4 linked regions of the Arabidopsis thaliana genome follow. The main gene of each other region encodes a partner of the protein of the gene in region 3 in a complex. Each region holds a gene or a part of one and is shown on either strand. Other genes may lie near its edges.

Region 1 (6,017 bases), on a different chromosome or scaffold from region 3:
AATGAGACATTAATGGGTGCCACGTGGAGAAAATGGGAGCTGTGACAGAGACTTGGTCAATGCAATGCACATGTGGATAAAAAGCCAGCTAAGTCTTCGTTGGCGTGTATTGAAGAGAGAGATTGGTAAGTAAAGGGACTCGGTCCTGGTTGATTCTTTCTCGTCGTTCTAGAATGCTCAAGGACACAAAAATGTTGACATGTAATTTTGTCTATATCCTTTTTTTTTTTGGTTTAATGTTAAACTTTACACCAAATAAAAAAAAAGGTGTACATTGTACAATGAAAATCTCAAAAACACACCAAAAAAGGCTAATATAACATTTTATTAAAAGAGATAACTATGAGTTGTATCACAACTAATGAGGTGAATTGATAGAACCAAAGTAAAACTCAAGGAGAGAAATGCTGATAGTGATATCCTCCAGCGAGAAGGAGATGAGACGACTGCGTATAGTGCGTAACAAGAGACTCAGTAGCATGGATGGTACTAGATTCATTTGAGAAAATCGTTTTATTACGCTCATTATTAATCAGATAGATCGAGGTTTGAAGAAGGAGTTTCAAGATCTTACTTACAAAATGTGGAGGTGTGGATTGAACATTCAAGATCCACAAGGAGGCTGACGGAAACGAGATTGTCTATATAATCGTATGATAGTATAAATTTTGTGTTGAAATGTGTAATGGTGTTTTTTGGTAACCGAAAATTGAAATGTATTATTATGAAACTGTATAATGAAAAAAAATAATTATAATGGAATATGGTAAATATGTGTCATTAACAAGTCATCAATCATGTTTGGGCCAGAATTAAAATTGTACAACTATAAGAATTAATTGACACACGACAAAATACACTACATGCAGTGATGCAGATCTTTTTTTTGTTTAAATAAAAATGTTACATCATATCTCCTGTCATGTGTTCCTAACACACACACAAAAAAAAGAAATATCTGAAAATTAAACTTAAATTTGAAAAGAAAACAAAAACAATAAACCACACGTGTGGTTTACAATTACAAGCTCGAAGAGGCTTTGAAACATGGAAGCACGAAGGTTACTGACAAAGACATGACAAGCTCTCCTTCTTCACCTCTGCTAACTTATTTTTTGTTTTTAAAGATTGATTAGTTTTGGTTTTTGTCAGGTAGAATCGTGCAGAAGCGTATTTCCCGCTAATTGTTCCTCATCAGACTCACTTTCCAGTCTATACGACCAATTAATTTAGCCCCAATTGACTAAATTTTTTATACTTAAAAATAATAAATATTCACTCTGACCAACTTGCGACCGAAGAAATCAAGAAAAGCAAATTAAGATAGTTTACCAAACATAATTATTTATATTTTTAAGACATCGGATGTCGTCAACAATAAATTTCTGAAGGAGACAATTGCTCCTAACATGATCGTTCAATGATTCAGAACACAAGACAACAAAGAAGTACATAACATATATTATATATATGGAAGCTAGAGAGTATATATAATGTTGCATGACTGATATAAGAAAATATATAATGTGTATGTAAAGTGGTTTATGATTCACAAGTTAGTTTTCTACTTAGTAACAGCTTCTTCAAGCTCTCTTAAGCCACCAACCTTCTGTTCAATTTCTTCGATAAGTTCTTCACGCCATAGCTCCGCTCTTGCTTTCTCTTCTATGTCTTCTTGCTGCATCATATAACCCAAAACACAATAACAACTCTATCCAATCTTATAATAGTTGTACACATTGTGAATCTGTGATGATATACCAAAGGTCAATGGCCCGAGCAAGCCCAGCCCGACCCAACTTAGGATCAATGTTACCTACCATCAGATCTGTTAACGTTTGAATTATTATATCAAGCCCAACCCGGCTCAAACTTACTAAGCATGATTGATCTATCAATAGGATGGATCAATGTTACCTACCATCTATCAGATTGTGACTTTCGTTTAGATGATCAAGGTTGTGGATTCATATTTTTGGGTGCATATATACCAACGGTAAACGCTAACCTAAAAGCCACCTATTTTTCTTTGTTTAGGGAGGTTTATCGCATGCTGAGACACATGGAGGAGTACTCAAAACCGGCTCTGAACAGGTCTACATGGCCTACTAAGACCAAGGTGGGATAGTCTGAGGTCAAACTAGATCTGAACTGGTCCACAGGGTCTAGTAAGACCACAGCGGGTTGGTCGGTCCATTGCAACATCCCTAGTTATAATTTGTATGCATTTCTAAGTTTTTTTCTTTCTTTCCTAATAGTATTAGAAAGGGAGAGATACATACAGTTTCATAGACCCAATATCCAGTTCCATCCCCTCCATCTCCACGGTACTCCTCTGAGTCGTAGAATGGATCCTGTATTGATCCAATATCACAAAGTACTATTAAGATCCCAATGCAGCAAATGTATCAAAAGATTCAGTTTGAGTTGTTGTTTTCATACTTTTGCTGAACCGAAGTACAAACATCCCCAACAAGTGAACATGATGTAGAACATATCTGCCATATCAAGATCAATATCAAAACATAAGAAAAAGAAGAAAAAAAAGTCTAAGAAAGAAAATAAAATCTCTCAAGAAACCCCAAGTGTTTAACTTACAAACATTCTTGATAGCTTTATCACTTAGATGCCACACGTGTTTCTCTGTAATGATATCACGCATTCCTTCTATTTGTTGAACCATCACAGCCATTAATGGCAAATCATGTGGCAATGCCTTTCTTACACATAAGCTTCCTCTCATCAAATTCCTTTCCCTCTTCTCATTAACATTCTTCTAATTTTTCAAATTCTAAGACGTAAATTCACAAGAATATGGAGATTTTTTTTCTAATTTTAGTCTTAGTTAGAGAAAATTACTTACAGATAGCCAATATCCATGATTCGGTCCTGAATTCTGCTTCGGCTACAACACAATACACAATTCTTAAACTTTTTTTCGTAATGAAATATTTTTGGTAAGAATATAAAATAATATGTACCGAGTGATTGTAGGAAGAAGGAATATGAAGATTTGTGAAGGTGAAACTTGTGAAAGCTTCAGCCATTGTTACTTCTTGATGGTGGCAATGGAGAAGAAAAAAAAAAAATGTTGGTGTAATCTTTTTTATTTTTTCATTTATTTTAATCTTTAAGATTAGATTTTTTGAGGCAGAAAATGTGTGGATAAGGGAATTGGTATCGTCCACTCTTCACTTTTGTGATAAACAAAATAAAAAAATAACGTACGTTAGCAATCACATCGCATAACACTTTTTTTGTCTTTTAAAAGCCCAATTTAGACAATCACAGTACACATTTTAGCCTTCTAAAACGCTCAGGTTGGGAACAACTATTTGCCTTAAAGAGTGGTAAAGATATTTCCAGCAAAATTCAACTACAAACTTTCGTATTTTACCCGTCCAACAAACTTTCCATTCGCGCAGGTTAGCAATCACTAAACACGTTCACTCCTCTAGACGTGCAAGTTAGTAACCACACTAAAATTGCTAATAAATCTTTGGTTGGTGAAATTCAAACTTTCCGCTTATGTCTCTTCCCAAATACATCATTTGTTGAATAGCGTACGTTGGCAACTATTGCCAAACTTTTAATGATATTTCCATCTAATTCAACTTCCTATGCGCGCATGTTAGCAATCATCCCAAATACATCATTCGTTGAATAGTGTATGTTCTATTTGCCAAACTTTCAATGATGTATATCCATCTAAACCAGCTTTTATTCGCGCATGTTAGCAATCACAATAACACGTCTACTCTTCTTAGCGACTAGTATTTTGTCAAAAGTCGGAAGAAAATCTCCGGCCAAGTCAACTTCTATCGCTTTAAAAAGCGCATGTTAGCTATTAAAAAGCGCACGTTAGCATCATTTTCGGGAAATTGCTAATCAAACTTTCCACTTTCGTCTTCTTCCCGTGTATATCTTTAATCTCCTCTGTTTGGTGACTATTATCCAATTTCCACCGATCTTCTCCTCATAAAAACACCTCTTCCTCAACGAATTTTTTATCCATGAGTCGCATAATGGGATTGTTCGATCTCGAGAAACACTTCGCCTTCTACGGTGCTTACCATAGCAATCCGATCAACATTCTAATCCACATCATCTTCGTTTGGCCAATCTTCTTCTCAGTTTTACTTCTCCTCCACTCGTCGACCCCAATTTTCGACCCCTCTCAATTAGGGTTTTCTCAATCGTTGACCCTCGACGGCGTTTTGCGATTTAACGTTGGGTTTATATTCGCCTTGATTTATGCTCTGTTCTATATCGGTTTGGATAAGAAATCTGGATTTGTAGCTGCTCTTATGTGTTTCTCTTGCTGGGTTGGTTCCAGTTTTCTTGCTGTTCGACTAGGATCTTCTCTTGCCTTAAAGGTTAGATTTTTTTTCTCTAATTTCAATTTAGGGTTTTTGAAAAAACTTCATTTTTGGAGAAAATAATTGCGTAGAAGCATGTTTATGAGGGTATATGACTATGTGTATCCATGTGTTGCTCTATGTGTATATTTATATGATGTGAGTGTGGTTCATGCATTTATTGTTCATTGTTTTCTATGCTTTGACTTGAAAGTTCGTTTATATCATTGGTTATGCTCGGGGAAGAAGAAATAGATTTATTTATATCATTAGTCCTCTCTATCTGTTGTCTATGGGTCCCTTCATTAGCTGTTAACGTTGAGACAGCAGTACTAATATCATGTCTCTAGCTTTGAACATTCATGATTAGTAGTTATTGCAGTTTGTTCTGCAATTGTCCACCTTTGCACGGTTCTGATTCTTTGGTCCGGAGACTTGTCATGTTTTTAGTGTTGTTGACTCATTGGTTAAGAGGATTTGATGTGTGCTTGGACGGAAACAAGTGTTGTTCTTGACCACCAACATTTGGATGGTCTCAGATAATTAGAATCTACATCACTTGTTTAACTAAAGTTTGGTTTTTCTTCCATAGTATTTGAGACATCTGTAACTTAGGAGCTTTTTTATGTATCTTCTGTGTTGTGAATCATTTGATTAGTTTATATGTATCTTCAGTCTGAATCATTTGATTAGTTTGTTATATGTATTCAACAGCAAGGGGAAAACAGTTAATACTCACCAAGACGCCAACTCTCTCTGTTATGTAGATACTGTAACAATTTAATTGTCTTTTTACTCAGGTTGGGTTAGCATCTCAGCTGTTATGTTGGACCGGGCAGTTCGTTGGCCATGGAGTATTCGAGGTAAGTTCTCTGGCTTTTAGAAATCATTGTTTTGATTCTCCTTTGTGTCTTGTCATCCGTATACATGAGTCCTAACACATATGTTATTGATTCTTGTCTACTCACAGAAACGGGCACCTGCGCTGTTAGACAATTTACTCCAAGCTTTTCTCATGGCTCCTTTCTTCGTGTTGCTCGAGGTAAAAGTTGTTGGTGTTATGTTATGTTGTGATTTGTTTGTTATCTCCTGCTACCTTATTATACTGCTCTGTGGAAACTGTAACCAGAATACATGAAAAGCTAATGTGGAAATGTTTGAATGAATACAGGTTCTTCAATCGGTTTTCGGGTATGAACCATATCCCGGTTTTCAAGCGCGTGTGAATGCCAAGGTAGAAAGTGACATCAAGGAATATAGGGCAAAGAAGCAGAAGAAGAATAAGATCACATAAGCTTGGATTATATATAACTGAAGAACTTGAACCCATTGTCGTGTTTCTATAACCGAAATGATAATAAGACCACCATGATCCATGGATTGATGTATTTGTGTGTAAACTATGTTTCAATATATTGAATATAATATGTTTCAGTCACTCATGTTTCAAGAAAAATAAACAAAATGCGTTGCATGTATTACAATCACATATTCACAGGTCAATTGTTGTTCCGCTCGACTTGTTTTAGTCCGTTTTGAACCAATCAATTCTTTGTGTTTAACTAATGAGTAAAACTGGTAGCTTAAATATAAACTTTTATGATTCTTTATGTAATCATAAAAACACTAATACAGTATCACCTAAATTAAATTCATATT
Region 2 (5,014 bases), 5.4 Mb from region 3:
TTAGACCTTGACGGGTTAATATGTAAAAGCAATAATGGGTTTCATCGAATTCTCTCGTGTAGCTTGGTACCGAACCAATTTCAACAATATCTGCTAGCAATGTCGAATCTTGAGGGCTCAAGTCTGCAATAGAGAATTTCAAGAGACATTACAAGAAGAATACAAATTTGAAACAGGATTGTAAAAGCTGAACCTTAACTCACCTGTTGACAATAAATAGAAGAAAAGACAAGGGCCTTGAAGGACGACAAACCGAGGAAGCCAGTCGTCTACTTCTGTATCATCTATTGGTGGTGGTTCACCCGGAAGAGCTGCCCAACGCTAAAGTCAAACAAAAAAATAAGGCAAATTTGTAAAACATCCTAGTGGATCAATAATGATAAGTAATTCAGAGTAAGGCCCTACACTTCTGATAAACAAATAACCAGATAAACGGGCAGAGCGCAAGACTTCATCCACATGTTCCAACCTATGTAGCAGTTCAGCAAGAAGAAATTGAGATATGCGCTTTTAATCTGAGAATGGAACAAATTTGAGTATATGACTTACTGGGCTTTGAGGTAAGCTTCTCTTTCTTCCATATCAGAAAGTTCTGATCTAAGTGATTCTAACTCCGCTGCTGATAGCTCGACCTGCCAATGAGAGAGTGATCAGGATTCAGGAGAAAACCCTGAAACTTCAATGAGGTGAATCAAAAACAAAGAAGAAAGGTGTGAGAGAATGGAACCTTCTCTTGACCATCTGAAACCCAAGGCAGACGGCGAAGAGTGAACAAATTCAACATAGTTGCTGCTCTTTTCAGGTTTCTGCGAGTCCGTGACTGGCTATAAGGCCTACTCTAAACAAAACCACCCGAAAAAACAATTCATTTCAGCTCAGAATTTCCCTTCTTAGCATATTTATTCGCTAACAATTTACCTCAGAGAACTATCGTCCTTTGGCTGCGAAGATGATGGAGTATCGTGCTGAGAAGATTCTGCTGTGGGACTAGGAGCACTAAAGTGATCAGGTAATATGTTTAGCTTCTTAGGAGTACCATCATCCATGAATTGAAACGACTCCAGAACCTTCCACTAGAAAATGAATCAAAGCTTAGCCAGAGATGAAACTACTCTAAAACTCTCAGCTTGTAGTACATTGATTCCCCAAAAGAAGTCGAAAAAATCACATAGTTAAAAACTTTTTTGTCCATTCAAGAGATGTCATCTGAGCATGATCTAATCTAGATTCTGATATGAGACAAACTCCTATATGAACTTTAGCATTCCATGAACATTATTTAATCTCCCTAAATGACTTGTCTCTCAGTCTCTATCTTATGCTTATTCTTATCATAGATCTAATCCACAAGTATGTATGTATCATCACTTGGAGAGATATATAACTACTAAAAATCCTTATTCCTCACTGAGGATCAAACATACCTCTTTATATATCTTTCAACGCCGAATTTTACAATCCCACTTCACCAGAAATTTTGATATCCCTTGTGAGAAATCAGCTCGCTGTAAAAGAAAAACAAAGTTCAGCTTCTACAAAAAGAAAGAGGACGAAAATGAACTCTTTCTTTTTCCCATTCTAGATTTTATTAGCTCAAATTAAAAACAACAGAATCGAATTTTCTGGAAACCCTAACAAAATACAAAAACATTGAGCAGAAATAGAAGCTCGGAAGTCGGAATCGAATGACGGGAACCTCGAATAATTTGAAAAAATTGACTGAAGAGAAGATCGAGACCTTGTTTTTACCTGATCGAATGTGATCTCTGTATTCAAGGGAAAGTGTTTACGCAATTGGTTTTTTGGTTGAGTGCTTACTGCTTCAGCAGGAAGAAGATGTTGGGTTTGGGAATTTTACTCATAAAGAAACTTTAAATTTGGTACCAAAAAGACGCTTTTATCCCCCGGTTAGGTTGCGTCAGCCAGCTCTACCCACATGGGCATTGCTGCAGATATTACAAGTTTTGTAATTTGTTAACGAATGTTTGTAAACTTTTGACTAATCTTATCTACAATATAATGAATTTATCGAATCAATGTAAAAGTTGTTTTCATTCATGCTTAATACATTAATTGATCAAAGTTGCCAACTAAGTATTTGGTGATGCCGATGAGTGTAAAGGACAGCCTAAGACAAAAGTGTATGTCTAATTATGATTTGGGAGTATGGGATTCCAATTATTAATGTCGTTGACCCAAATGATTTATCTTCTTCTTGCTGCTTTTTTCTTAATAAACAAACAAATCCACATTATTAGCATTTAGCAATATGTTTAATTACATTACCATTGTTTTTAATCTAGGCCCATATCTCTTAAGAATATTCAAACTTGGTCCAGGTTAAACTTATGACAAAGCCCAAATGTTCCTACTCTTTCTCCTAAATCATTATTCCAAACACCGGTTACGCATTAACCGGTTCAGGTCCACTGGTAATTTGGAAATAGATAGAACTCATCTAACTGAAATCATGATATGTGGTCATTATAACAAGCGAATCAATCACACGCTTCTTCCTTCCTCTTCCATCTTCTTCATATCTCCCTTAGTCACCTCTACTCTACTCTGCAGGCAAAAATAGTTATGGCGACTTCTTCGATCACTATCCCGACCATTAGAACTCCGATTCATCGATCAAAATTTCTAGGCCAAACACATCAATTTTCAACTGTAAACCGGTCGGTTTTCCCGCCTCCAAAACAGCAGTCAAAACTGTATCAAGTAAAGGCCATGGGTAAATTCAATCTATGGGAAGTGATGGGAGGAAGAGGATTATGCAACGGAGAGAAAGGTATTGAGAAGGAGCTCCAGAGGAACATTGAAGACGAGCAAGAGACATCAAAGGCTGAGAACAACGAGACAGAGAGAGAGAGCGATGACAGTAACTTGTCTTTTAAAGTACCTGAAGATGGTTTCGAGAAAGAGATGATGGGTCTCACAGGAGGATTTCCCGGTGGCGAAAAGGGTTTAAAAACGTTTATCGAAAAAAATCCACCACCTCCTCCACCACCACCACCTGCAAAACAAGGAAGCGATGCATCCGCGGTTGCTACAGATAAGAAGCCGAAAGCGCCCAAGCTACCCCTTCTCATGCCGGGGATGATTGCTATAGTCAAGAACCAGAACAGTCCGTATCACATGTATTGTGGAATTGTGCAGAGGATCACTGATGGAAAAGCTGGTGTCTTGTTCGAAGGAGGAAACTGGGACCGTCTCATTACTTTCAGGCTTGAAGAGCTTGAACGAAGAGAAAAAGGTCCACCGGGTAAGAATCCAAAGTCTTGTATTCTCGAGCCTCTTATCGAACAGATGCAAAAGGAAGAGGCAGCACCATAAGTGATCTTCTCTTCTCTGTATGTAAGTTCCTGTGAATGTATATGTAACGTACCTTTGCGTTTTAGGCTACAATATTTCTGACTGGTTCTAAAAGAGCTTCATCATGTGATATAAAAAAAAGAATAAACGATGAATTTCAATCATAAAGCACTTAATAATAGAGATTCAAATGCACTCAATCAATGATGAATCAGTATAGAAGTTAAAAACTGCAATGGAGTAGTTTTATTGTTATCATTGGTTGTTGTAAACATCAACCATATCAGTTTCTTCTTGACTATCGAGTATATTCTGTAAATGGTAAAGATGAGAAGTGATCCACCATTCTTGTCAACAGATCATGTTGAAATGATCAGATGCAGCCTCCCAACTGTAAAAAAAATTCAGAAAAGGATAAGGAAGTTAGAAACAGAACAATATTATTAAATCATGAAAAGGGTTCTCTCAACTTGTAATTGGTCACATAATTATAACTTAGTAGTTGGTCACACATTATACTGTTAGATACATGTTCATCTAAGTGTTGTTATACATGTCAAAATGAAGTTACATACCAAAATGGCTTCCATTTCTTCGTTTGAAACTGGCGTGCGCTTTGGCTGCGATGATGCCTTCCCGCCAGTAGTCTTTTGGATGTTGTTCAAATTGGAGAAGAACAATGTATCAGCTTCATTTGCCACCTGACTCTTTCCCTCTGAAGCTGCAATGCCAGAAAGTAAATCGCATAACAAACAGATGATTACCCAAACCAAAAGCTAAAAAACATAAGAGCTTCTCTATAATGATTCGAGATTTGATAACAAACACGATTCGATTCAATGGCTAAACAAATCTGTGTATCCTTTGAATCTAACTATGTAAATGCAAATCAATCAGAGCGAAATAGATCGGAAAGCAAAAATTCACAGCCAAATGAATACAATCTCATATCTGATTCATGAAAATGAAACCGTACACAAAAAAAATTCGAATCAAGCGAGAAAAAGCCGAGCAAAATTGTGGAAAAAATAACATAGATTCTGTGTAGAGAGTTTCATGGATAATCGAAAACCTGAAGGATTAATATGTCTCTGAGGGAATTTGATGCGAGGAATCCTCTTCAAACCGTGAACTACGTTCATCTTCTTTTCGCTCTTTCGTTCTCGTCTGTGTACCAAAAGGAGAATGTTGACGACGGCGACTGGAAATTTTCTCTCTCTGTATTTTCCCGAACCTTCGGGTTTATTTTCAAAGTTTCTCCAAAAGTGGGCCATTTTTTGTGGTTAGGCCCAGATAAGTCTATATGACCCATTTAAAAGCCTCACAATGTTCGTTTCTCTGTTGGGACAAAAAAAATCCCTCTCAAGTCAAAACCATAAATAAAAATCAAACTAGGAATTTCTTTTTTGTTTTTGACTCAATCGTGTTTTTTGTTTGAGTGCCATTAATTGCCATAATTATGTTAATCTCAGATTCAGACTGAATGTTTGATAGCAAAGGGTAGAGACTAAGAGAGAACCAGGACTTAGTCAAGCGTAAAAATCTTTTTGGGTGGTTGGTCGTAATCCACCAAAATTTGGTAAGCTTTCAACGCGTTATCTCAATAAAAGTATTAACCACTTCTTTGTTTCTCTCTATTGTCTACACTAAATAATATATACGTTTCTATAAAAAATCCTAATAAATTGATAAAATATTT
Region 3 (5,224 bases):
ATAACAAAACAATCATGAAACTGTGGGAATCAATAAGTAAGCAACATGATTAATGTTTTAAGTACCATCTCGGTCTTCCAAGCCATCAAGAGTTTCTGATAACAAAGTAACATAGCGGAAAAACTCTCCCGTAAAGTCTCTGCGTCTCTTGGCAGCGATTGCGTTTATGTCTGTTGGGTTTTCTTGAATCTCCTTCAAAAGGTCATTGTGTTTCTCCATTTCCTTATCTATCTGCAACAATACTCACTCCTATAAGTACACAACAACAACAATAAACTAACCTGAGTTCACTAATAAACACAAAATACAACACTATAAATACCTTCTTGACTTTACTTTCCAAAGATACCAGTTTCTGCTTCAATATAGGATCAGTTTCGGTATCAGCTCGGATTCTGCAACGCTTATAGAAATTAACACTGTACTTGTTCCATTCATCTCTTAAAACCAAATACGTCTTCCATTGTTTAACTTTAGGTTTCTCATTCAAGAAGAGATCAATAATCTTGTCACAAAACTGAGCCATAGTGTAACCTTCAGCAACCTCAACTTCCATTGGATCCTCAACAGAGCTTTTTACTTCCGCACCTAAACACAAAATTTCTATCTTCAATAAAAAAAGCTTCTCTAACTAGACGAATCCTAGTCTATGAAAAGGGTTTAGCTTATCTAATGGTGACAATTAATACAAATTGGAATCTAAAGAAATAGAATTTATTGGTAATTAGACAGAAAGATTAGAGATTTAGGGTTTATGAGCTTACTTGTAGTGCCATTGTAAGTGACAGTGTCGGTAGCAAAGGTGATAGTTGAGCTTTTGCGTATCTTTCTTCCTCCATTGATGAAAGCAGAGAAAGGGAGATGATGGGTTTGAGAATTCTTAGGCGGGAAAGACAGTAATTTATCAGCAGAGGAGAAAAAGATTGATGTTTCCAGTAAATTCGCCATTTTTTCTCCCTCACAAAGTTCGTCTTGGTGACGAACAACGAGAAACACCAGAGGATAAGAAGAACAGGGTTTTAATTGTAAATAATTAGTAAACGTTGACAAATTCAAAAACTTAATATAACTTTTTGGGTAAAAATGTTAAAACTAACAAGTTTTGCATCAGTTTGAAATCTTTTTAAAAAGAGGCAAGGAGTAAGGAACATGAATGAGCAAGACCAGAATTGAGTTTCTTTGACATTACATATTCACATGACCTTAAGACCTTACATTAACAAGAAAAGACAAAGAAACTTAAGATTGATTATTACAAAAATAATTATAGCATATGTCATGATATATACATATGTTACTTTGTGATAGACAAAATTAAAAAGCATACTACAATATATTTATATTCCCATTACATGATTATAAAATAGAGTTTGTTTCACTAAGCGTCCTCTTGAGGCTGACCATCTCCACCACCTTCAATGTTACTGGTATTGAATTGTACACGAGGCTTTCCCATACTGAAATTAAGAACTCTTGCATCCATATTGTATTGTATTTCTCCATCGAACAACATCTTCCTTATGTAATGTTCTACGTCCGATCCTATCAATCTCAATGTGTACTCCGTTAATGGTGCTCCCTGTTCAAAAACAATATTATAAGGTCTTCTTGAAATGAGTCTAACTTTTAGATGAATGTTTCGTTCGTTTATTGTTATCGTTACCTCGTAGTGATCGACGAGTTCTTGGAAATAAGAATAGACCTTGTTACAGCTTTCATCATCCCACACAAATTCTTCAGTAGGATCAAGAATCAAAGTGAGTTTATCCATTTGTGACTGGTCAAACTCACAAGTCTCTGGATCAATATAAGCAGCGTAGATCCTAACGTGACGTGTGACACTGCTTAGCCACTGACCACCAAAATCGCCCATACCCTTGCTCTTCACGTTCAGCTGTTTCTCCACTGGTCTCAATGGTGTTGGCTGCTTCTTCATCTTCTCTGTTGATTGCTCTTCTTTGAGTGTCTCTGTTTCTTGTACTTCAAGAGTACTGTCTTGTTCCGGATTTGTCACCACGAACGCCTTTTGTGTTGTTCTTGGTCGGATTTGAGCAACCATAGAAGGATGTAATAGAGAAAGCTTGGTGCAGGCAGTGTAAGAGAATGCTGCAACCATTTTTCTGTCTAAGAAATGAAAAAAAAAAAACAGAACAAGTTTTGAGATGTTGTCCGGTTACAGAACCATATTCTTGTAAAGAGATTTGATGAGGTTGAGAAATGACCACAGCTTGTGGATGAGCCTCTCCCAACTTCTAGTTTCTTATTTATCCCTTTCTCGTTTTGTTGGTATTTTGTGGTTACTCTTAAGTCACTTGTGAGCTAAAGACAATCTTCTTTAGGGAATTCACTGTTTTGTTGTATGTGTTTTTTTTGTCTAAGTATATTTCTTTTTGATGTATAGAGAGAAAATTTAACAGATCATTATTTTTCGCATAGCGTGAAAATAGAGTTTTACATGTATCATCTATACATTCCATGGGAATTCAAAGCATAACAGAAAACACTTGTGGGGTGAAACAGTTTAGTTCTTGTACTTCATGGTTTCTTTCTCAAACCCAATTGTTGGGAACTGCTTAGCGAATTCCTCGACTTCATGGCGCAGTTTCGCAATCTCGGATTGGATGGTTGAAGAGGATTCCATTGCTGACACGAAATCCTTCAACTTGGTTCCTGGTTTTAGAAACATAACAAATGAGTTCAATCATTGTATATAAGAACGGAAAGCATAGCATCGTGATCAGAGAAGTAAAAACCTTGAGCTTCAGATTTGACTTTGAGAGCTATTGTCACAGCTTTGTCGAAGTATTCAGCTACTTTGGCAAAGTCTTCCTCAACAAAGCCTCTGGAAGTGAGAGCAGGAGTACCTGAAAATAACAATGGCAGAGGATATCAAGAAGAACTCCATTCGAATACCAAAAAGAAAAATGGTTAAATGTGATTTTTACCCATTCTGATTCCACCAGGAACCATGGCAGAAACATCTCCAGGAACAGTGTTTTTGTTGGATGCAATGTGAACAGCTTCCAACACTTTCTCAACTCTAGATCCATCAATTCCCTGCAAACAAAATCGAATAAAAAATGAGTTTTAACTAAGAAATATAAAAGAAGATTATATACAAAAAAAGATCAAGTGACCTTGGGCTTTAGATTCACTAGAACCAGATGGTTGTCAGTTCCACCAGAAACAAGTTCATATCCTCTCTCCATTAGAGTCTGCACGAAACAACAATGTAGAGATATAATCAAAGTAGATACTACGCCATATGTGTTTTTCTTTCCTTCACGGGATTAGTACCTGAGCAAACTTTGCACTGTTACTCAGGACTTGTTCTTGGTATGCTTTGTACTCTGAAGTAGTTGCCTGCATTTTCAAACCATTTGAAGGTTACAGAAACCGCAAATCCAATAAGCAACGTTAGTTCCATTCCGTGCCTCACCGTACCTGTTTCAAAGCAACAGCTAGTCCTGTGATAGTGTGGTTGTGTGGACCACCTTGAAGACCAGGGAAGACAGCTTGGTTGATCTTGTCTTCAAAATCATACAAAACCTTTCAAGACAACAAATGAATGACGTGAAAGATTATACATAAATCTAAAACATTTTGGTTCAAATTTTGCTTCTTTTTCTTTTTTACCTCTTTCCCTTGCTTGTTAATTTCCTTAACACCCTTTCTGAAGAAAATCATGGCTCCACGGGGTCCACGAAGTGACTTGTGAGTTGTGGTGGTTACAACATCAGCATAGTCGAACGGTGAAGGGATTACATTAGCAGCAACCAAACCACTGATGTGTGCCATATCTGCTAGCATTACAGCTTTTTGCTTGTTACAGACCTGGGAAAAGAGTTCGAATCAAAACTCACTACTGATTACAATAATCTGTTCTGTAGTTGGATATGAGACTGAAATTACCTTTCTGATGCGGGCATAGTCATACAATCTAGCATAAGCACTTGCACCAGCAACAATCAATTTTGGCCTGAAAAGAGTAGCACTTTTCTCCATCTGCAAATCAAAATTAAAGACTTATGTATTGTTATGAAGCGGGTTAGTTATAAGTTACTATGATTGCTTAATAGAAGAGTTAAGAACCTGATCGTAGTCGATGTAGCCAGTGCTCTCGTCCAATCTATAGGGCATTGTTTCAAAGAAGATAGACACAGCTGATATCTTCTTGGTGTCAGTCTGATGAGAAATAAGAAGAAAGAAACTGTTATTCATCAGAGTCAGAGAGTTCCGAAATGACATACAAAGTTAACTTGAAGGCACCTGATAACCATGAGAAAGATGACCACCATGAGGAAGATCAAGTGCCATGATTCTTTCATGAGGCTTTAACAATGCAGTGTACACATGGAAGTTGGCAGGAGATCCAGACAAAGGTTGAACATTCACTGTAAGATCCAGTCAAATAAGCCATCAAAGGACTAATCAGATTTCTTGTTTCTCATATACATGAAAGTAGTAATTTACCTCCCCACTTTTCAGGATCTAACCGGAAAGCTTCAAGAGCGCGCTTCTGGCATAAGGTTTCTGCCATGTCTATATACCTACAAAGCAAAAGGTACTTGAGATTTCAATTCTTATTACAGAGATTGGTCAAGCAATCATGTCCTGAAACTAAATGTGTCAGATTGAAAATTCCTGAACATACTCATTTCCTCCATAGTATCTGGCACCAGGATAGCCTTCACTGTATTTGTTAGTCATGACAGACCCAACAGCTTGCATCACCGACACAGATGTGAAGTTCTCAGATGGAATAAGTTCAAGTCCCTATAATAACACAAGCGTTACAAACATCAGCCTAACTTATAATAATCAATCAAGGAACAAGATTTAAGAGATAGTAATCTCAGAGACAAACTAACCTTCCATTGTCTAGCTTTCTCATGCTCAATAATGTCAGCAATCTCAGGATCAACCTCCTCTAAAGGTGCGTTAAGCTGTTTTGGCCACTGAAACGAACGTTTACAAAGACATAAGTTTCATTAGATTCAGTCACACCAAAAATAGAACTCCATACATCAATTTGAAACAGACATAGAACTTCAACAATCAAAACCATTGCTTCAACCACAAGGAAAACTATAAACAAACAAGAGATACAAAAAGGCGCTTAAACTCACAGTGACACGAGATCTTTCCTTCTCATCAACAGCTTCACTGGGCAAAGAAGACTGCAACGGAACAAACAGAAATCAGAAAAAAAAAAAAAAAAAAT
Region 4 (5,420 bases), about 12 Mb from region 3:
GCAGTCATTTTCCTTTTTTATCAGATAACATTTACTTTATCGACTCTACTTTCTTCATACACCATCAACAAATGTAATATGTAAACATTTTTTTACCCTGCTAATTCGTATATTATCATGATATTTTCAAAATTATCGATAATCCAAAGTTATCAGCGACATCTTCTTTCCTGTTTTCAAAACCATGGTAAAAGTTTTGTTATCGACTGTTTTTTTCAAAAAAATGATAAGGAGCTATATATATATATATATATATATATATAGGTACACACCTAAGACTTAAATGCTTTGTGTCTCTTTCTTATAGGTACAATATATCTCGCGGAAGAAGGCTACTGATTCTTTGTTTGTATAGGGGCAATTATGTCATATTTAATTTACAAGAAAATTTCCACCTAAATAACTAAATGATATGTGTAGATCCTTAATTATATATTCTTCCATGTATAGATATTTCATTCACCCTTTTGTTTATCATTCATAAACTATAATCCGCAGTAGTGCGAATTAAAAAAAAAAAAAGTTTGCGGTGTACTAACTACAGATAACTTTTACGTAGAATTTTTTTTATCCGCATGCGATTTATCGTCCGCTCTAAAAATAAAGTGGTTTTGTCTGTTAGCGATTTAGTGTGCTTTTTTCATTGCATCCATTGAAACCAAAATAGAATACAATAGACTAAGGCCTTGAATGTTTTGTAGATTTTGTAAGAGTTTTTAGATTTTGTTTTTCAAAAACTTATTTTTATACCAATCAAGATTATAAAATTTTGGTTTCCCTACAATTTAGAAAAACTATTTTGTTGTAGTTTTTGATTCATGATTTTAATTTTATAGTTTTCCTAAAACTTAGGGAATCTAGTTTTTACTCCATCAACGTTATTTTTCTCAAAAACTAAAAACCAATTTTTTGGGGTTTTTAAAACAAAAATATAATAACAAAAATCTAAAACTAAAATCTAAAATCTAGAAACTAAAATCTAAATCCAAAAACTGAATCGAAAATCAGCATCCATTCAGGGTCTAAACCAAAAATAAATCATCGAATCATAAATAATTTTTAGTTTTGATGGATTTTTGAGAAAAAAAATATTTAAAAATATTATTAATCTTGAATTTTACAAAAGAAACTTGAAGTCTAAAAATATTATTAATCTTGTAAGGACTGTCAAATGCTTTTAAAGTCTTAACAGTCCAATGTCAATCACCCCCTAAATAAATACTAGTGGTCATAGAAGTAGGAACCACTTTCCCCTATCTCCATTTTTGTATGAATCCATGATTCCATATTCACGTCCATGTTGTATACCCTATTTAAGTATAAAAATAAGAAGATAATCACATAATTTTTCTACCAAAAGACTATTGTTCTTATCAATTTCCATATCCTTGTTTTTCATTTTGTATCAGAACAAAAATTCGTACAATGACTACGAATAACAAGGACACACTTGATCAACTTAAAGTAAGCTTTGACGACGTCCAAGAGAAGCTCGTGAAGATGCATGTAGAAGTAGAAGTCAATGAGAAATTTGCTCACATTGAAGCCTCGCTAAAACAGTTCATTGAGACAATGACAACACAAGCCATGTTCCAAATCAAAATGTGATCGACGACATTTAGTACTTAACCGTTGACGTCTCAATTTGGGTTTCCAGTGAAAGGCTTATAGTGCTTAGTGTGCAGACAATTTTGGCTTCTTCACGTGCTATCACCCTTCATTTACTCAAACTAGTCTGAAAGAACAACAAAATCCTTTATCACTTCATCTAGTTCTATTAGCTTATGTGCGTTTGTTATGCGGATGGACTGAAGTTTGCTTGATAAATTATGCTTCATGTTTTTCTTTTGTCATGGGACCATTTATAGTCTTTTGATTATACTCTTAAACTGTTTTCATTTTTAGTGAAATATTTACATCTTAGGAAAAAAAGAAAAAAAAACGTAGTCAAAATGTGCATCGAACAGTTCTAAGGAACACGTCTAAGGAGGATTGAGTCAGGTGCTACATATATATAAGACTTGATAAAAGGGTATTGTTGCAAAAGGTAGTGAAAAAAGGGTAGTTTTGCAAATCTCCCTAGTTTTTATTCCTACTATACTTCCCAAACTAGTGAATTCCGCATTAGTTATCAAAACTACTATTTTGTTCGCTTTGTTTTATATAAATGAGACTATTTGGATTAGCTAGGTAAGCATAACAAAATATAGCTCTAAAACAATGTTTGGATAGCTTAGAAAAAATCCAAAAATAACACACACACAAAAAAGGTGAGGAACAGAACCACTAGACCACTTTATTTTAGTTCAAATGATCTTATAATCTGTAATTGTTAATCTTCCATCTACATATAAACTATATGAATTTTCCAAGTATATACAAAGCTCCTTACCTAGTAAGAAGGATCTTTGAAAACAATCACAAAAGCTATACAACAAACAGCGAATAATACGATCAAAATATCGAACGTGAGAGCAGTCATTGCTTGATCACTAAGCTCCATGTTTCTTCCACCTAACCGGTCAACCATATCAGGTATTGATTCATAGCCCCTAAAATCTTGCTCTTTCGGATCCTCTAGCTTCATTCTCATTTTCTCAGCTTGACGACTCGCAACTTCTTGAGCCAGTGTCCAGTCATAAAACCTCCGAGTCTCTTCATCGCTCAAAACATTGTACACTTCTCTTAATTTCATGAACTTTTCTGAAGCTGTTTTAAGTGGTAGTGAAGTTGTATCTGGATGATACTCTTTAGATAATCTCCGGTACGCAGATTTTATCTCTTCTAGATCAGCATCCGTTGAAACACCTAAGAATCTGAAAATGATTATTGTTACATGTTACAATACATATTGAAAAATAAAAATAAAAAGATATGTAATGAGAATGTTTGTTTTGCTCACTGGTAATGAGAATCAAAAGAGTCTTTGATTAGTTCTGCAAATTTTTCGTCACTAAGGAGATTGGTTTTGTCCTCATCAACCGATTTGGCCGGGTCGGATCTTCCTCCGATCCAGCCTTCGTCCGGGCTTTCCCAGTGGATTCTTGTGTCTACTCCTGGAGATGGTTTTGACGGTTTAGTCGGGCCTTGTGACGCGTATATACGCGTCACTCTTCTTGCTGTTATCCTTCTAAATGCTTTCGTGTCATCCGTGAAATGCGCGCCGTTTTGGATTTTGGGTAGGATAATGCATGAGGTTCGTGCATAGGTAGAAGTTGCATAAGCCATGGCTCTGTGTTGAAGATGGTTTGTTCTTTTTTTTTCTGCCCTTCATGTTTTTGGTTTCTCTTACCGCAGAAACTTGTTCCAGAACCTCATGATATGTGTGGTGTAGATTTTCTTTATATCTTTTGTTGTCCTATCTAGTGTCCATAGGAACAAAAAATTTAAATAATTAAATGTCAACAAAAAAAAAGTATGAAACGTAAAGATATAAGAGACAAAACGTTGAGAAGAGAGGGGCAATGAGAGGAAGAAATAATGTAGAGATAAATGATTTCTTTCTTTGGAAGCGATGTCTAAATATGTTATGCAACAAATGTGTGCGTTTGTAATATATATAGGGTAAAAATAGACAATTGTATCATAATTAGGATATGACCCGCGATATACCGTAAATTAAATTTATTTATTTATTTTTCTTTATCACAAAATATAATTTGTTGTTTGTTGTTGTTTGTGATGATTAATAATTATCGATAAGGTTGTGTATGTTTTTTATTGAGTCACAATTATGATATTAATAAGTCTAATATATGTTATTTTATCTTTTAGGATTTGACTTGTGATAGACCATACCACGGGATAATATTTTATTTTATTCATAATTTGTTATAAAAAAATTATTTAATATAAACTTTTGGTGTTTTCAAATTTAATCCATGGAACATATGTAGTTTAGTAACTTTATATTAAAATTACACATTTAAATGTATCAAAGAAGAATAACATTTAGAGGTGTCAAAGAAGATTAACACTTATACTAAAATGTTGATTTTATTTATTTTTTTGTAACTAAAAATTTGAAATTAAAATTGTATTTGTTATGTTATTATTGTTTGTTTTGTTTACTATTGTATAGTTGTAATTTGATTGTTAATTCTAGGAGTACACCCGTGGTATCCAAATTTTTCCCATCTAAACTCATAGCACCATATAATCTCGTCTCATCCAAACCCGTCCTACCATGTAAACTCGTCTCCTGTAAACCCGTCCCGCCATATAAATCCGTCCCGTGATAACTAAAAATCAAATTGTTCTTTTTCTTTTTAATAATATTTTTATTTAATATACTTCGAGTCGGTTTACAATTTCAATTTAAAAAGAAAAATTGTATAATATATTGAAATTTTAACAATTTCAATCTAATAAGAATCAATATCGGATCGTTTCGAAGATTTTATATCGAATTCTTTGAACAAAAAATAACACAATTTCTTGTTAAATATTTTGTATCTTTTAAATTAATGTATTTCCTATTTGTATATTTTATATTCAATATATTTGGTTTTGATATAAATTAGAAAATCCGTTTAAATAATTATTAAAATTTGAATCCCGAAGATATTTATGTGATTTTTTATAATTTAAAGATTGTTGTTGAGATTTTTTAGTGTCTATTTTTTGTTGCATTTATTTGTTTGCAAGGTCTATCATAATTAAGGTGAAGTTACAAAAAGATCTGTAAAGTATAATATCGTTCACATATTGATTATAGAATTATTTAGATTATTTTTAAAAAGGAAAAAATTACAACATATGCCATATTTTTTCCAATCCTTATGCAATCTGCCATAATTTGCTGGGCCTTACAACTCATGTCATATTTCATACTGAAATATCGATTTTGTCCCTCTCCATTTCTTCTCTATTTTATCTCTCCTTCCTTGAAATCTGTGCGCTTTAACCATATATTATTATCTTCCCGAAGATGAAGCGCTTTTGTCACTCTCTCACTTTCTTTGACAACCTGCACAGATTCTTTACATGTAACTTTCAATTAAATTTGTCTCTCAATTTTATTCATCACAATATTTCTGTTGTATCTAGATCTTGTCCTTGATTTCATCATTTTTTACCATCTATTTTGGTCCACAGATTAGTTGAGCATTATTGTTTTCACCGACACGATTTTTTTTTCTTCTATTGTAAAACAACAAAAATATTCAGTTATTACATATTATCTTGTCTATCATTCGATCTGACTTTGTCCCCGATCCAATTCTATTACTCATTCGATATGAACTTGTCCCGATATAACATATTATTAAAATATGTTAACGTGTAGGTGAAGACAATAACGCTCAACTAATCTGTGGATCAAAATAGATCGCAAAAATTTAAATAAAATTCAAAATTATTAAATGAGAACAATTGCATATAAGATGTAGGATTCATAATAATAGAGCAAGATGGTGAAA

The links.
Region 1: NdhM (region 3) and PnsB4 share a complex: the UniProt entries of both Arabidopsis thaliana proteins name them as parts of the chloroplast NDH complex.
Region 2: NdhM (region 3) and NdhS share a complex: the UniProt entries of both Arabidopsis thaliana proteins name them as parts of the chloroplast NDH complex.
Region 4: NdhM (region 3) and NdhT share a complex: the UniProt entries of both Arabidopsis thaliana proteins name them as parts of the chloroplast NDH complex.

The regions. Positions count from the first base shown.
Region 1 is NC_003070.9:6,457,655-6,463,671, reverse strand, and holds PnsB4 (NDH dependent flow 6), read right to left. Parts: upstream 3,270-6,017; 5' UTR 3,048-3,269; coding exon 2,982-3,047; intron 2,906-2,981; coding exon 2,864-2,905; intron 2,829-2,863; exon of another isoform or gene 2,777-2,828; coding exon 2,599-2,776; intron 2,499-2,598; coding exon 2,443-2,498; intron 2,355-2,442; coding exon 2,283-2,354; coding exon of another isoform or gene 2,208-2,282; exon of another isoform or gene 1,829-2,207; coding exon of another isoform or gene 1,823-1,828; exon of another isoform or gene 1,679-1,822; coding exon 1,565-1,678; 3' UTR 1,328-1,564; downstream 1-1,327. Other genes in the region: AT1G18720 (ER membrane protein, putative (DUF962)), read left to right, coding at 4,014-4,376, 5,159-5,221, 5,329-5,400, 5,530-5,652. UniProt on the Arabidopsis thaliana protein: NDH shuttles electrons from NAD(P)H:plastoquinone, via FMN and iron-sulfur (Fe-S) centers, to quinones in the photosynthetic chain and possibly in a chloroplast respiratory chain.
Region 2 is NC_003075.7:12,418,915-12,423,928, reverse strand, and holds NdhS (NAD(P)H-quinone oxidoreductase subunit S), read left to right. Parts: upstream 1-2,464; 5' UTR 2,465-2,583; coding exon 2,584-3,336; 3' UTR 3,337-3,515; downstream 3,516-5,014. Other genes in the region: AT4G23895 (Pleckstrin homology (PH) domain-containing protein), read right to left, coding at 1-123, 204-321, 406-469, 550-632, 728-833, 919-1,046; AT4G23885 (uncharacterized protein), read right to left, coding at 3,689-3,706, 3,891-4,036, 4,388-4,457. UniProt on the Arabidopsis thaliana protein: NDH shuttles electrons from NAD(P)H:plastoquinone, via FMN and iron-sulfur (Fe-S) centers, to quinones in the photosynthetic chain and possibly in a chloroplast respiratory chain.
Region 3 is NC_003075.7:17,829,370-17,834,593, forward strand, and holds NdhM (subunit NDH-M of NAD(P)H:plastoquinone dehydrogenase complex), read right to left. Parts: upstream 2,251-5,224; 5' UTR 2,117-2,250; coding exon 1,664-2,116; intron 1,580-1,663; coding exon 1,379-1,579; 3' UTR 1,164-1,378; downstream 1-1,163. Other genes in the region: AT4G37920 (endoribonuclease E-like protein), read right to left, coding at 66-231, 323-588, 765-948; SHM1 (serine transhydroxymethyltransferase 1), read right to left, coding at 2,522-2,670, 2,754-2,864, 2,946-3,057, 3,138-3,215, 3,298-3,363, 3,445-3,549, 3,637-3,834, 3,913-4,005 and 6 more. UniProt on the Arabidopsis thaliana protein: NDH shuttles electrons from NAD(P)H:plastoquinone, via FMN and iron-sulfur (Fe-S) centers, to quinones in the photosynthetic chain and possibly in a chloroplast respiratory chain.
Region 4 is NC_003075.7:5,928,925-5,934,344, forward strand, and holds NdhT (Chaperone DnaJ-domain superfamily protein), read right to left. Parts: upstream 3,552-5,420; 5' UTR 3,229-3,551; coding exon 2,903-3,228; intron 2,817-2,902; coding exon 2,393-2,816; 3' UTR 2,186-2,392; downstream 1-2,185. UniProt on the Arabidopsis thaliana protein: NDH shuttles electrons from NAD(P)H:plastoquinone, via FMN and iron-sulfur (Fe-S) centers, to quinones in the photosynthetic chain and possibly in a chloroplast respiratory chain.